Callithrix jacchus: one gene and its partner. The protein of the gene in region 1 interacts with the protein of each later gene in a biochemical or structural test. Links are inferred from orthologs where the notes say so. Each region holds a gene or a part of one and is shown on either strand. Other genes may lie near its edges. The genes, in order: VDR and HR.

Evidence for each region.
Region 2: the proteins of VDR (region 1) and HR form a complex in vitro, tested with the Homo sapiens proteins (2 studies listed by BioGRID and IntAct). The link is inferred for Callithrix jacchus from reciprocal best matches to the Homo sapiens genes VDR and HR.

What each region holds. Positions count from the first base shown.
Region 1 is NC_133510.1:2,140,223-2,143,181, forward strand, and holds part of VDR (vitamin D3 receptor), read right to left. Parts: intron 2,778-2,959; coding exon 2,626-2,777; intron 2,433-2,625; coding exon 2,316-2,432; intron 959-2,315; coding exon 699-958; 3' UTR 1-698.
Region 2 is NC_133514.1:19,356,923-19,361,294, reverse strand, and holds the start of HR (lysine-specific demethylase hairless), read right to left. Parts: upstream 2,892-4,372; 5' UTR 2,593-2,891; coding exon of another isoform or gene 2,488-2,592; 5' UTR 2,312-2,487; intron 1,099-2,311; 5' UTR 1,055-1,098; coding exon 443-1,054; intron 1-442. Other genes in the region: protein HRURF, read right to left, coding at 2,488-2,592. UniProt on the Homo sapiens protein: Histone demethylase that specifically demethylates both mono- and dimethylated 'Lys-9' of histone H3. May act as a transcription regulator controlling hair biology (via targeting of collagens), neural activity, and cell cycle.

The DNA of each region.
Region 1 (2,959 bases):
AGGAACAGTGGTGGCCACCATCACTATTCTTCTGTGAGGCTGCTTTTGTCTGTTTTTCCTCCTTGGGTCTCTCAGCAGGTGGGTTTGTGCCTGGGGCTCCAGTAATGGGAAGAAGGCCCATCTCACCACAGCTACTGCCCGTGAGAGTACAACCAGGGCAGTGGACGACAGTGGGCACCGAAGGTCAGGGTGGGACGACAGTGGGCACTGAAGGTCAGGGTGGGTGGGAGCTGTGGGTGGATTAGTTATCATGAGTAGGCAGGAGAGGGAGATCCCACCAGGCTCTGGACGTGGGGGCCTGGAGTGGGGGAAGGTGTGGGTGTTTCTGTCCCTGAGGAATGGATGCATTTCTCCTGCCTGTTCCCTTGACACCAGTCAGCAGCCACTTATGCAGGGGTGAGGGCATCTCTGGGCAAGGCCCTGCCTCCAGCCTCTGCCCTCTGCCCCCACTTGAGTTTCTTTGTCAAATACACAACAACTGCTCATGGCTGAGGTCTCCAGGGAACAGGGAACGGCCTGCAGGAAAGGGGTTGAGTTGGACAGGAAAGAGAATGGGCCGGGTGGACAGGGGCGGTGCCCGAGGTGGGGCTGAACCCCAGACGGGGGTGAGGAGGGCTGCTGAGTAGTTGCCAGTCCCGGGCCCAGCATGTGGCCCTGGAGGAGCGGCCCCACCCGGGCACCACCGCCGGCTGCCCTAGTCAGGAGATCTCACTGCCGAACACCTCCAGCACAAGGGGCGTGAGCTTCATGCTGCACTCGGGCTGGAAGGAGAGGCAGCGGTACTGCTTGGAGTGCTCCTCGTTGAGGCTGCGCAGGTCGGCCAGCTTCTGGATCATCTTGGCATAGAGCAGGTGGCTGCCTGGGGGCGGGTGGCGGCAGCGGATGTAGGTCTGTAGCGTGTTGGACAGGCGGTCCTGGATGGCCTCAATCAGCGCGGCGTCCTGCACCCCGGGACGATCTGTGGGCACGAGGTGGAGGAGAAGGCACAGCAGGTCTGAGGTGGGCCCCTCACTGCTCAGTCCCGCCACCTCCCACCCACACAGACACGCAATGGCAGCTCCCTCTAGGCCACCCCTCTGTGGCCGCTGACCGGTGATACCACCGCTCGGCCCCAAAGCCCTTCAGAGACTTCTCCTTGCCTTTAGGATCTAGTCCCAGGTCCTTCCATGGGCCCACCTGGCCCTGGCCCTGGCCCTGCCTGGCCTTGCTCCCTGTCCATGCTCCGTCCACTCCTCAGCTTCCCGATGTGCCCTGCTCTCTGGCCACCAGCCTTCACATCTGTGTTCCCTCTGCTTGGAACTGTGCTCTGCTATCTTTGCCAGACTCCTACTGATCCTTCAGGTAACAGCTTAAAAGGTCTTCCTCCAAAAGGCCATTCCTGGCCACACTGCCTCCATGGCCCAGACCACATCGGCTTCCCTCCTTCTAGTCTACCCCTCTGTGGTATCATTTCCTTGATTTTTAAAACCCATGCCATGTTAGGAATTAGTTGTTAGATAGCATTTCTTTAATGTTTCCTCCTAAGCTTCATGGGAGAGGGGCCTGTGTCCTGTTTGCTGCTGAATCCCAGCACCCAGTACCCAGCACAGAGCCTGGTACCTGATGGGTGCTCAGTAAACTGTTGCTAGGTGGATGAATGAATGAGTGAGTGAACGCTGCTGGGCAGGGGTATGGGGTCCACCTCCATTCTTGAGCCTCCAGTCCAGGAAAGCATCCCTGGCCAGAGGCCACTAGCTTGTCCCCTGAGCACAGCACAGGCTGAGGCAGGGCCGCCCCTCTTTGGACCTCTTTGGGGACCGACATGACGTCCCCAAGGTTACGGTAACTTCCTCTTGAGCCTTTTCTCCCCCTTCTCACCCCTAATAAGCAGAAGAGGCCAAGGATCACAGCACACTGCCTCCAGAATCAATCAGGTCAACTGTCCAGGCAGAATCATCTATCAGACTCCAGGGTTTTGTACCCTGCCCCTGAGAAACCTCAAATGACAGCAGTGTTGAGCCCGGTTCACACAAGAGTAGGGCCTGAGCATCGGGAACCTGCAGGAACCCGACTTATCTAGCTCCTCAGAATCCCCTGTGAATCGCCCCTAGTTCCTCAGAATCCTACCTGCAAACTCTGTAAGGCAAAGCCAAGGGCAGCAAGGGGCTCCTCAATGTCCACACACCACAGGGGTGCTGGAAGCCAGCACAATAGGCCCTTTCCTCTCTGCCTCTCTTTTTGCTACTTCTCCCTTCAGGTTGCCCAGCCGGCCCTCAGCAGCCCCTCACACTCCCCACTCCCCAGGTCCCCGAGCTCCTCCCTGCACGGCCCCATACCTGGGGAAACGATGCAGATGGCCATGAGCAGGACATGCTCCTCCTCATGCAAGTTCAGCTTCTTCAGCCCTACCTGGAACTTGAGGAGGGGCTCAATCAGCTCCAGGTTGTATCCTGCTGTGAGACACGATGGCCAGGTACTATGGGCAGAGCTGCGGAGCCACCCACCCACCTCCAGCCCCGATGGGCCAGACCCTCGCCCTTCTCTCCCTTCAGCCACCTGCCACGTGTCTGATTGGAGCCCAGACCCCAGGACGGGTGGAGCCGGAGCCTGGGAGCTGGAAGGGGCAGAGCTGAAGTCCAGGCATACCTTTGGTCACATCACTGACGCGATACTTGTAGTCTTGTTTGCCGCAGGTCCAGGACATGTCGTCTGTGGTGAAGGACTCATTGGAGCGCAACATGATGACCTCGATGGCACTGGACTTCAGCAGCACGATCTGGTCCTCAGAGGTGAGGTCTCTGCAGGGGAGGGAGGGAGGGAGGTCAGGTTACCAGTCAAGACCGTCCAGCCACACAAATCAGTTTAGTGTTTTGACAGGCATACACCTGCTGGGCAACCAACATATGCCCTGGGTCTTTCATCAAGGAGATGGCAGCCTGGCTGGAAGGGACAAGGGTGTTCCTTAAGTGAGAACAGTTCA
Region 2 (4,372 bases), on another chromosome or scaffold:
GTCCTGTGCCATACTGCGTTTTAAGTCTTTTAAAATCTCATCCCTGGGAGTGGGAGTAGTCTATGGGGGAGGTGCCCTAGACACGGGCCATGGGGTCCCCTGCACATCCTACGCTCAGATAGAGTGGCCTTGCCAGCCTGCCCATCTCCTCCCAGGAGAAGCCATACATTCCAAGGCCAGAGTTCCCAGGACCTTATCCTGGGCAGACAATGGGTGAGTCAGCGGCTGCAATGACCTGAGGGGAGGGGAGGCTTAAAGATGGAGCTTCTCATGGGAAGGCTTGCTGGGGTTGGCTGTGGGACCTGGGACAGCTCCGAGCTGATGGACACCTCTACCTTGGTGCTGCCTTCCCTTTTTATCACAGTGGAAGGGCAGCTTGGGGACCACCCGAGCTACTTGGCAAGGCCAGAGCCCCAGGTACCCTCTCTGCCCCTGAACTCACCTTGCCACCTAAGCCGAAGGCAGAGGGCACTTTGGGCTGGCCCCCGGAGTATACCCAGGGGTGCGGGGCCAGTGGCCAGTCACGTGGCTGCTCTGGGGGCAGGCCAGACACTAGGTAGGGTGGCAAGCATGTGGGCACCCAGAAGGGGGCTCGCTCCAGGATCTTGGTCTCCAGAAGGAAAGGGCAGTGCCAGGGCCGGAAGGCTACGGGGTCACTCTTGAGATGACCACCACTAGGTTCAGGCATCAAGGGGCCACAGCGAGGTGGGCACGCTGGCCCGCAGAATGGCAGTGGATGGGCAAGCATGGCCTCCTTCCAGCGCAGTCCCTCTTTGCTGCCCAGCCAGCTGGCCTTCCTCTCCCCATTCTGGGTGCTCTCACCCTCCACAAGTTGGAGATTGTCGTTGGTGCCCTGTGGGAAGCCAGGGGTAAGCCAGGAGTCTGGGGTGCTCAGGACGCCCCTCCAAAACGGAGCAGGCTCTCCCAGACACAGCGGTCCACGGTGCAGGCCATCTTGAGGTGGGGTGCCTGGCTCCTGTCTCACGATGCCGTTCTCTGGGGCCGTCTTCTCCCAGGTTGGGGTGCCCTTCAGGAAGCTGGGCGTACTCTCCATCACTCTCCTGCCCTCATGGGGCTCTCCCAGAGTGGGGGGGGTCCCTGGAGCATAACCATCAAAGCATGAGCTTCTGGGGCACATGCCCCAAGCACCTTACCGCCTGCCACAGAGTGGGCACCGCCCTGGCAGAAACAAGGCAACTCAAACCAGTAAGGCAAGTGCCAACCCACAGCTGGGCACCATGCTGCCTCTTCACATGCAGCCTGACGCATCTTGCTCCTTCAGTGTGGGAATATCACCTCTTCCCCAAATGCCACCTGGGCCAGCACCCCTCAGCAGAGGCTGCCATTGCTAGTCGGACACCTCCTGGCCTCACTGGGCTTGAAACCTGCTCGAGCCATGAGGGAGGACAGAAAGGGAGGGCACTGGACTTGGAAAAGGGCTGGATCCTGGCCTTGACTGTCCTGTACTGTGTGGCCTTGGACAAGTCATGTCACTCCTCTGGACCTCAGTGTGCCCTTGAGGCTTGGGTCACATCTCAGAAGATTCTCCCCGTCCTGCAATCCGTGGTTTTGTGAGTGCTACTAGCCCGACCCTAGCCCATAACCCCAGCCAGGCTTGTAGCTGTGGGAAGTGAGGGCCTGGCAGGCTGGAGTCATGGGGAGGGCTGCCAGCCAGGGCTGCTGGCTGTGTCTCTCCCTACACCTGGGCGGCCCTGAGTCAGCCTCTTCCCAGAGCTCTGCAGTTTCTCGGCTTCTCAAGCAGAGTCCCAGGACAACTCCCGGGGCTAGGATCTCCACCCTGGCCCCCAGCGGGAAGAGCAGCGCGCCAGCACAGGGGAGGGGGACTAAGAAGCCTCAGCTGGATGGGTCAAGCTGCCCTAGCCCAGCCAGCAGTGCCAGTGTAGCCGCCACCGCCGCTGGAAACTTCAGCCCGGCGGGGAGTGGGGAGGGAAGGAGGCGGGGAAAGCGGGCTGGGCCCCAGAGAGAGGCAAGGGAGGGAAAATTGAACGTGCGTGCAAGGGACCAGGATGACAGGTGGCACTAGAGCGGCAGCGCTCTCTTGGCACGGTCTCCTCCACCAGCTCGAGGAAGCCCCAGGCGGGAGGTGACGGAGCAGTGGCAGAGGGCGCCCAGGTTTTCTGGAGCCACTGCTCCACCGTGGTCTGGCCCTGTCGGGCATCCTAACTTTCAGGTGTCAGAATGGGTGGCCCAACCCAGAGGGGTTTGGGGAGCTCACTCCCTGCGGGCACCACACTCGGCTCAGAAAACCCTTGCCACAAGTGTCCCCAAACTACGCGCTTCTGTCGCTTACCTGGGCTTCACCGGCCAGTCGCGGCCCGGGCGGTGGCGGTCGTCGTGGCCGGCACTGGGCGCCTGCTCCCCATGGGCGGTCTCCGGGGCCTCCCGGCCGGCGGGCAAGAACGCTTTCTCCCGCTCGGTCTGCTCAGCGCGCTCGCGCTCTCCTTCCCCCGGGGCGGCGGGGGCGCTCTAGGGCCGCAGGTTGGAGGGGTCGGACTCCGGGATCTGCAGGATGCGGCACACGGCGCGGATCGGCCGCACCAGCTTCTGGGCCGAGGCCGTGGGTTGCGCCATGGGACGCCGAGACTCCGTGCTGCGCCGCGGGGAGGGCCGGGCCGGGGCTAGGGAGCGGGTGCCCCCGGAGGGAGAGAAGGCGCCGGGCCGGGGGGAACACGCGCCCCGGGTCGGAGATGGCCAAGTGGGGGGAAAGGCCGAGGGGCCGGGGAAGGGGGTCGTGCCTGGATGGGGGCCGATCCCGGGACCCAGGAGAGAGGCACCGGCTAGGGCGCAGCACCGCGCAGCGCGGCTAATGGAGGAAGAGCGCGGCGGAGAGCGCAGCAGGACCTCTGATCGCCATCGCCAGACGCGCAACTGAGAGTGGGGAAGCTGCTCCGCCGGTTTCCTCCTCCAGCACCCTGCGGGAAACAGGAGCCCGTGATTCGGCGGCCGCGTCTGGGCCTGCCCCCTCCCGGGCCCCGGGGGCTTCCGCCAACGCCCCGGCGATGCCACCGGCTGCGCACGGGGAGAATGAGCCCTTTGTTCCCCCTCCCCCCCGCGGCACCCGGGCGCCTGCCGAGAGAGGCTCCCCCGGGGCAGCGTGCCAGCTTCCCAGCCGCCCCACCCTCCCGTGGGCCCGGCCCCGGAGCCTGGCAGGCGGGCGGCACCCCCACTATAGGTGCCAAGCCCGGAAAACTGGAGCAAAGGGCGGGAGGGGCCGGACCAGGCCACGGTGGGCGGGGTGCCCCCCAGGGTGCTAGGGTGGGGCGGCTGGGAGGGGGCAGCGCCAGAGCTGGCAAGGGCAGTCGGGTTCTCACGGGTCAGTGATGGGCGCTCTGGCCCACGCCAGCCGGACTGTGCCTGCCTGGCCACTGGGTCCTGGTCCTCTCCAGCTCTGGCCCATGGCACGCCCCACTGGCCTGTGTCTGTATTGCCTCATCCTCACCTGGCCAAGCGGCTCTTTGCCATCTTCCACCCCAAACCCTTCCCAAACCCCTTCCAGAGTTCAAGGGCACAAAGGGTTGTGGCCTAGGACCTCTGGGAGGGCCTGGGCTTGGGTCTGTCCCTGGTCTAAGGGTCTTGATTTCGCCAAATGTCTGGAGAGGTCATGGGCCAGGATGAGCTCCAACACTGGCCCCAGACCCGGGTCTCTGAGGGTCTGCTTATCCCCAGGGTTCCTGGTGCTTTCAGGCCCGGCGCTGGAGAGGTGCCCATGGGAGTGGCTCCCAGGAGAGCGCAGAGAGGAGGAGAGGAAATGGAAAAGCAGGGCACCCTCCACCCGAGGAAGCATCCCGGCTCCTCTGCGGGGGTGGTTCCAGCGCAGACACAAACAGACAGATTCAAACACACACAGACAGATTCAGACTCACACAGAAACCCACACGCCCAACGGGTGCTTCCCTTCCCCTCAGGCACCCACCTCCCACCCTCAGCTCCCCTGCCTCCCTGCCCCTTCGGAAGGCTTCCTTGGCCTGCCTGGGACCAAAGCTGTACCCCCTCTTTCCCATCCCATGAAAGTGATGGGTTCTGGATACCTCTAGCTTGGTCCCCAGTCACACCATTATCCCTACAGAGGAGAGCCCTGAAGAGCCAGAAGCCTTCCTCCTAAGGATGAGCAAAGACCTGGAGCCTTCTACCAGTTGAGAAGAGTGGGGTCGTGGGGAGAGGGGGCCTAAAGCAGCTAGCACTGGACAGGACTAGGGCCGTGTTGGCATCGATTCAGCCCACCCCAGGCCTCCCCCCAGAGGCCAGTTCTGTGGCAGAGCAGGCTGGTAGGGGTTGTTTACATGACTGAGTTAGTAACACTCCCTTCCTCCCCAGCTCCCCTGGGGGTGGCAGGGACCTGAGTGTGCCAGGG